Linked DNA regions of Styela clava. The protein of the gene in region 1 purifies or fractionates together with the protein of each later gene. This does not show direct contact. Links are inferred from orthologs where the notes say so. Each region holds a gene or a part of one and is shown on either strand. Other genes may lie near its edges.

What was found. Proteins that work in one complex are often made in the same cells at the same time.
Region 2: the proteins of vacuolar protein sorting-associated protein 33A-like (region 1) and vacuolar protein sorting-associated protein 41 homolog purify together in Homo sapiens (affinity purification with mass spectrometry; 5 studies listed by BioGRID and IntAct, counting the BioPlex papers as one, with this or other methods). This does not show direct contact. The link is inferred for Styela clava from reciprocal best matches to the Homo sapiens genes VPS33A and VPS41.

Annotation. Positions count from the first base shown.
Region 1 is NC_135257.1:17,180,923-17,184,681, reverse strand, and holds the start of vacuolar protein sorting-associated protein 33A-like, read right to left. Parts: upstream 2,621-3,759; 5' UTR 2,519-2,620; coding exon 2,417-2,518; intron 1,853-2,416; coding exon 1,574-1,852; intron 1,469-1,573; coding exon 1,247-1,468; intron 732-1,246; coding exon 551-731; intron 1-550.
Region 2 is NC_135252.1:10,828,495-10,832,253, reverse strand, and holds the start of vacuolar protein sorting-associated protein 41 homolog, read left to right. Parts: upstream 1-1,248; 5' UTR 1,249-1,331; coding exon 1,332-1,367; intron 1,368-1,739; coding exon 1,740-1,835; intron 1,836-1,915; coding exon 1,916-1,999; intron 2,000-2,693; coding exon 2,694-2,834; intron 2,835-3,382; coding exon 3,383-3,568; intron 3,569-3,759. UniProt on the Homo sapiens protein: Plays a role in vesicle-mediated protein trafficking to lysosomal compartments including the endocytic membrane transport and autophagic pathways. Acts as a component of the HOPS endosomal tethering complex.

The DNA.
Region 1 (3,759 bases):
GAAAATCAAATTTTGATGACACAACTTTGGCGTATGCAAGCCTTCATTAATAGACTGCTAAGAATGATTACTAAAACGGTACTCCCGTAGTATGTGTACTAGGTTAGGGTTAGGCCATAATTTTATTTCGATTTTCCTTATTTTAGTTATTTACAGGGATAGTTTAGGGAGTTCAGGTACTTTCTGTGTTAGCCAAGTGCATATACCCCCATGGGCTTCAGTCCCTCCCTACACAATTTGATGCCAAGTAGGCGAACAAAACTAGTCACCTCCATATTGGTACACATACTTCTGGAGCACCAGTAAAATAGATGCCCATTGAGTTTTAGTGAAAAGTTTTGACTTTATTTATCACCATTGAGAAAGGCTACAACTCCAATTAAAGACTCCAGGGCATTCACAATTTCCACTGTGGGGAGTTAGAAAAATACGTCTCCAGCTCCAACTCTGAATCCAGTGCAAAAATAATGAACTTTGACCCCAGGGCCCTAGTAGAACATGATCAAATTTAAAATATTAATCATCCTATACTTGCTGATCAAAAATTTACCATTTTTAATTTCATAAACTTCATCTATCAATCCTTCGTATGTCAGTTGGGTAACAAGCGGCGACAACAAATCAACAGAACGATCTAGAATCAATAATCTATCAATTTGTGGAGGAACCTCTCCTTCATCTTCACTACTTTTTGATTCAAGTCGGATTCTTTTCATAATTTCACAAACCATCTATGAATAAAAAATAAATTTACATTTAGTACTCGCTTGGTCAGGGAGGTGATATCCAAAGGTTATAATAATAAATATTTTATTTCATGTTTCGATGAAAAATTTAGCGTCATAGATTTATACAATGTCTGCATCAATAAAAAACTTGCTGTTGCATCTCTTCGACAAGTCTTATATAATCCTGCGTTGTGTCTTATTGGACGATTGAATTAAGGGTGGCCTTATTACGAAATTTTTTTTATCATTAAAAATGTTAGCATGTTCTTTAAAATAAATCATGAATTGGCGAAAATGACATGGTGTGTCACAATGGGTCAGTGGTTCACTATCCCTGTCTGAAAATAGATGACTAAGCCTATAAAAAATAAAGCAATATTTTGGAATTGCGATTGATATATTTCAATATTTTAATGGGATTTTATGTTCAAATGCCATCACGCCAAAATTAAATACTTATATGGTAAATTCTAATAATGTAACCATATACCAAATGTAAGATTATACACATAGAATACCTGGGCATATCTGCCTTTGCAATGAATATTTGGAATAATTCCAAACTGTTTCTGTAAGCTGTTCAATGCTCTAGCAACCAAATAAAGTGACGAGTAATCTTCATTGATTGTGCAGTCAAATAATGAAGAATAATGTTCCATAGACAGAAGATCGTACTCCAGAGGAATAAGATCAAGTCTGTATTCTTCTATATTTTTCAGCATGCTTGAAACTCCAAGTTCCTGGTAAAAATAAAAGCAATTTTATTTCATATTTAACCCATTGGGGGAAGGAAAGTCGACAAGGCAGTAATCATACGGCCACTCGTTTGATCGAAGAAATAATACCTCCAGCTTTTGAAGGCAAAGATAACTTTTCCACGGTACAAAGAAAACGTGAAACTCTTTTCCAAAGCCTGTTCCATCTTCCTCTCTCTGTATATTCTGAGCAATAAAGTCCATTTGATCTAATTTTGGCCTTGTTATAAATATAATATGCTGTACAGTAGATTTTGCAAGTTTTCCTCCAGCAAGTGGAAACATTCTCTCAACCTCATGTTCTTTCAGCAGCGGAAACTCAGCAATGAGACCAAATCGATCTGTGAGAGCATAGTCCCAAACCAATGCCTAGAAAGGTAATATTTTAATGAGATCATGGCTAAAGAGGATACATATAAAGCTGGTAATAAAACAATAGCCATCGCTTATTTTGATAATATAATGCGAATAGATTTTTATTCGAATGTAATATAAATAAATGTGTGCGGTTCAAGCATGTGTTGTCATAGTCTGTTCGAATCCCATGCCCGCAAACCTCATCAAGAGTGTGATGAATTGGGTAGGCAATGCTTAACAAGACAGATAGCGTTCCCTATGAAAAAATAGTAGTTCTTTACTGTAGTTAGATATCAATGGTTGCTAGGGCAGGGATTTGGTCGTCATGAATAGACATCATAAAACATGCGTGGTATGAAAAAATGAATGTTGCATGAATACATTCACCTCAAATTTTCGTATATATCATCTTGTGATACCAAAGGCTAATCCAATGGGCAGTCCGACTGGGTTAGTATGGTGTGATGAGCATGAAAAGTTAAACCTTCAATGGAGGCTAGATGGCACCCTGTTTAACATACGAGTTAATAATGTAATTTTTTCAACTTCCAAAATAAAATCCTATAGTAGATCTACCTTCGGTCCAGCACACTTGTCAAGTAAACGTAACAATTCTCGTCTTGCTTCTTCCCTGACCATTGCCAGGTTTACCACACCAGTAGAGAGATGAGATGCCATGGCACTGCTTGTGCCTTTTTCAAGGAAAAATCACAATGGCTTCAAATCAAATACCTAGTTACAATACAGCAATAAGCTTCATATTTCTTTAATGAATTATTTTGTAGATTATGAAAGCGTAAAAACAGTAAATACAAAATATAGGTTATGTATAAATTATGCTATCCTACAGCTGTCGGGCTGTACAGTCTTATGAGCAAGTCAATTATTGAAAAAACTAGCCACAATATGACAATACATACCAATCACTCAATAGTCTCTAATTTAGATATTTTTTGTTTGTTTTCATATGCAATGTCAATATATTAAAATCAGTTATTTGCAATAATACAACGCATTATTTATCCGCTGCATGTTCCATTTTATGCATTTAAGACAAACAAATTGTAGTTTTCAAAGGTTGGTGTAGCATGCTAAGGGTTAATGGGTTAGGAATATGCTTGACATTCTGACATTGCACCTCCTGACCTCTGATTACTGGATTATCATTCGCTGGTTTGAATGCGGTGGAGGACAATTAGGCTATATGCCAGAAGATTGCTGGATTCCCCTACTACGGTAACTGACCAATCAATCATTCTCCATCTTATGATCTAAGGGTGGGTTCACATAACTCAGTAACTCCTGGTCGGTATATTCATCTGTACGGTATATCTTCCTCTATCGTTAAGTCCATGCATCTCAAACAAATAACTGGGGTCTCGTGAAGCAAACGCCGTAACTGCTTAAGTCTGTAACTACCCCTAAACCAGTAAACAGAAATGTGGTGTGAAAATGAAGGGTCTAGTAACGTAAACGCCGTAATTGCTTAAATAGCGCCTAACAAAATTGCGATGAGAAATAAACGCCGTAACTGCTCAAATAAGACCCAACAAAAATGGGGTCTCATGTAGTTTCGTACCTAACATACTTCTAGTGGACGTAGCATAACAATTTTTATCTGTCAATCCTAACCCCCATCTGACTACGCCACCTAAAAATTACGTCAGTACGACCTCACAGTGACGTAATAGAGCCCTTCAAACTATACGAACTGTCATTCGAGACGGGCACCCGAAATCGAAGAGCTATTTCTCTCGTTTTCTCGTCGCAACGATCCCGATATGAGAGAGATGGATGACAGTTACCGGTAGTTCTTATTTCAAAGATTTCGCAAAATCCAAACGTTGTCGCATATTAAATTATAAGTCAAGTCGTGAGTGTGACTGAAGTGGAACACACTTGACCGTCTATGAAACCAG
Region 2 (3,759 bases), on another chromosome or scaffold:
ACCGGACTTCCTATAAAACTCACAATACTAGGGTGACAGGATAGCCCGCGTGAAAAATTTCATCTCAATTCGTCCAGCCGTTTAGACGCTACGCCCAAACAGACAGACAGATACACAGACAGACACAGAACGACCGATAATAAGGGTCTTCTAGAGCGGAGATCCAATAGTTTGTTTCGACAACTCCACAATATGATAACACAAAAAAATTGAAAATGGAGAATTCTGGAGAACGAGCAAAACCTTTAAATATAAATATGTAAATCTTATCCCATCCTAACGGCCGTGCTTTCCAGATTGGCACGATGCCTGTGAGAGGTGTTGGGAGCCTAAAAGTCTCATTGCGCGCAGCGCATCACGCACAGTGAGGCGCATTAGGAGCAGCGCATTGGGCACAGTGAGGCCGCATTAGGATCAGCGCATTGGGCACAATGAAGCCTCATTAGGAGCAGCGCATTGCGCACAATGCGAGATCGCATTACTGCATTAGGAGCAGCGCATTGGGCACAGTCAGGATTGACAATTCATCCATCCATTTTACCATTGTTTATGGAATCTATAATGACAAGCCAGACTCGACTTTTAGATAGTAGCAACAGTGATTAATTTGCTTTTTCAGTCTTTGAGAGCATCACATTATGTGTAGCGCATTGGGCACAGTGAGGCCGCATAAGGCATAAGGCTGTAAGGAGCAGCTCGTTGGGCACAATGCGTAGTCGCATTAGGAGCAGCGCATTGGGCACAGTGAGTTCGCATTAGGAGCAGCGCATTGGGCACAATGCATACCGGTAGTCGTATTAGGGGCAGCGCATTATGCACAGTCAGGATCGGCAATTTACCATCCATTTTACCATTATTTGTGGAATCTATATCTGTATATTGTCGAGCAACAATTGGATCTCGACTTGTAGCCTAAGCCTAAATAGTGTAGCGAATGTGCATTGTGTAACTATGGATCACATGTATTTAACCTTTTCATACTGTTAGTATGGTATATTTCACAAAATAGGCCACTTTATGATTCGCGACAGCGAGAAAGCCTACATTCTATAGCGAGGCCGTAGTTCGCCATATGGATAAGCCGTCTTATCGGCTTTCCTCTCCCCCGAGATAAATACAGAAATATGTAAATCCTATCCCGCCATGGTTTTGCGGCAGCTTCCGGCCCTCACCAAAGTAACTGCACTTGCTCGGACAAGCAGTTTACCACAATGACAAGAAATGAATCCAAGATTCAATTAATTCTGTAATTCTTGTTATAAATAACTAGTTTCACCTAACCTATTTCTGTATTTACAGTATTTAAGTCACTCATTTGTGTGAACTAAAAGATGTCATCTGACAGTGATATTGATTCGGAGTCGGAGGTGGGTCATTTTATTATCACTTCTGCACTTACAGTAGCTTCTAAATTGAGAAATTACTATATGTCAGATATGTCTTATGTTGCTTTTTACAATAAACTATATGTATTCATGGCTTTGTTATATTTGAAAAAGAGTCATTACAATCGAGAAATATTGTATAGAAAGAAGCTGATAAAGGATGAGAACATGAGCATTGAAGGGATTCTGTCCCTGCGTTTACTAGCAAATCTTGAATTTCATTGTTTTGTGCCTTTAAACTTTTGTTTTCATTTTTGTATTAAACTATCTAGACTGATTTTAATGACTCATAAACACATGAGATGATGAGAATTATACTCAAACTATACTGAACTAACCAATAATTTTTATCAGGAAGAAGAACCTCAATTGAAATATGAAAGAGTTCGCAATGATCTTCTGAAAATTTTATCAGAAGATGCAGCATCATGTGTTGTTATGCAATCCAAGGTAAGATAACATTGTGAGCATTTTTATCCTAATTTTTTCGTTGGCAAAATTCTTTTATTTATTGTTTTTGTTCTATTCAGTTTGTTGCACTTGGAACACACTGGGGGAAAATATATATATTGGATCATAATGGCAATAAAGTCACAAGCAAACAATTTGAATCGGTAAGCTTATTGAGTTCTAATTTTGCGCAAAAAAAATGGCATTTGGTTGTTTTATACTTGATACACCAATCAGTTTTCAGTATCATATTCTTCGTAGACATGAGAAGGCTGCACCCAGTTAATGTTGCTGCTTATAGTTATGGTAATTGAACTTGCTTATCAGTAATTAATTCCGAATTTCATTCAATGATTTTGCTTTCCATGTGTCTAATTCAGCATTTTCCAACTGCGTAGGTTCTGGGCCAGGAAATTTCAAATTATATTTGCATTTAAATTGTAATATTACTAATATTCTTCACATACTCAGTATTATAGTATGCACATATTATAAAGTGTTCGAATTGTATAAAAGATAGTACAAGTTATGCCTATCAGCTATCACAATCCATTATTGATCCAATAAAACTTGAATGACAAACTGAAACCAAGTTTATGTGTATACATAGTGACTAGATGATGAAGAGTTTAAAAATAGGGAGGACTACATAAAAAAAGGATTGAGAACCTCCGGTCTAATTCAAACTACAGACCCTCGCTTCGAAACATTGATTTAAAAAAGACTTGGGAATGCCAATAATTGCTAAATCTTTTTATTTAATGGATTGTTTCACTTCATTGTGGTTCATTTCAAATTTCTATATTGAGAATAGTGACTTTTTTAGGTTTGTGTAATCTGAAAAATTAAATTACACAGCACAATACTCAAGTCACTGGGATTTCTCTTGATGAAGGCGGCGAATATTTAGCAAGTTGCTCAGATGATGGAAAAGTCGTTGTTGTCGGGCTGTATTCTGATACTGAAAACATCTCTATAAATGTTGACAGGCCTGTGAAGGTATGGTGGTCTGAATGGTCTTTAGTAAGAGATATAATAAACCCCAAGTTTCAAGCTTCTGTGTAAACATCTAATTTTGGTTCAGTTTACACTTCTAAGCACATAAGGGTTCACTTATATTTATGTTTTCCCTTGATTATAACATGTCTGAGATCGCTTGGGCTTAGTTAAGTAGTAAAGTTGGGTCAAATATTTGTTTGTAAGGTTGTAGTTTGTGATGGAAAATCAATAATTACTGGTTTCAAAATTACCCATGTGTAATTGTTTGTATATCAAGTGCTTTCAACTATGTTATACTTTAGTTAGATTGACACAAAAATAAATGCTTGCTGGGTATTCGGAATGGATATTTATTTATTCCACATCTCAAAATCATTAAATACAATTGCCATGCCATACAAAAACGTTTAGATAAACCTCTTTTTTAAAGTGTTTTTGGAATTGCTTCAACTTAGATACTCAGCTGCTTTAAATAGCATTCTGATATTAGAAAATAAATCCCTTCTGCTCTTTCTCTAAGATTATGAATGCGATTTGCTGTTTTACAGTCTGTTGCTCTCGATCCAAGCTTTTCAAAAAATAGTTCTAAGCAGCTGGTTTATGGTATCGACAGTTTGATTTTATATGAAAAAGGCTGGCTTGGAAGATCTAAAACTACAACACTACATACTGGTGAAGGATTAGTTAGAAACATCAAGTGGAAAGGTCATCTAATTGCATGGGCAAATGACTGGGTAATTTGGAAGTAGTATTAAAACTTGGTTTATTTATTATATATACAATTAAATAATACAAGTTCTATTTTTTCTCAAATCAAATTATTTTGAATTTTGGTATTGCTCTCAGTCTTACTTTATTAATCGGATATTTTATCTTTCAAATCGCATCTGTGACCTAGCAATGAACCAATACTTCCAATGAATGA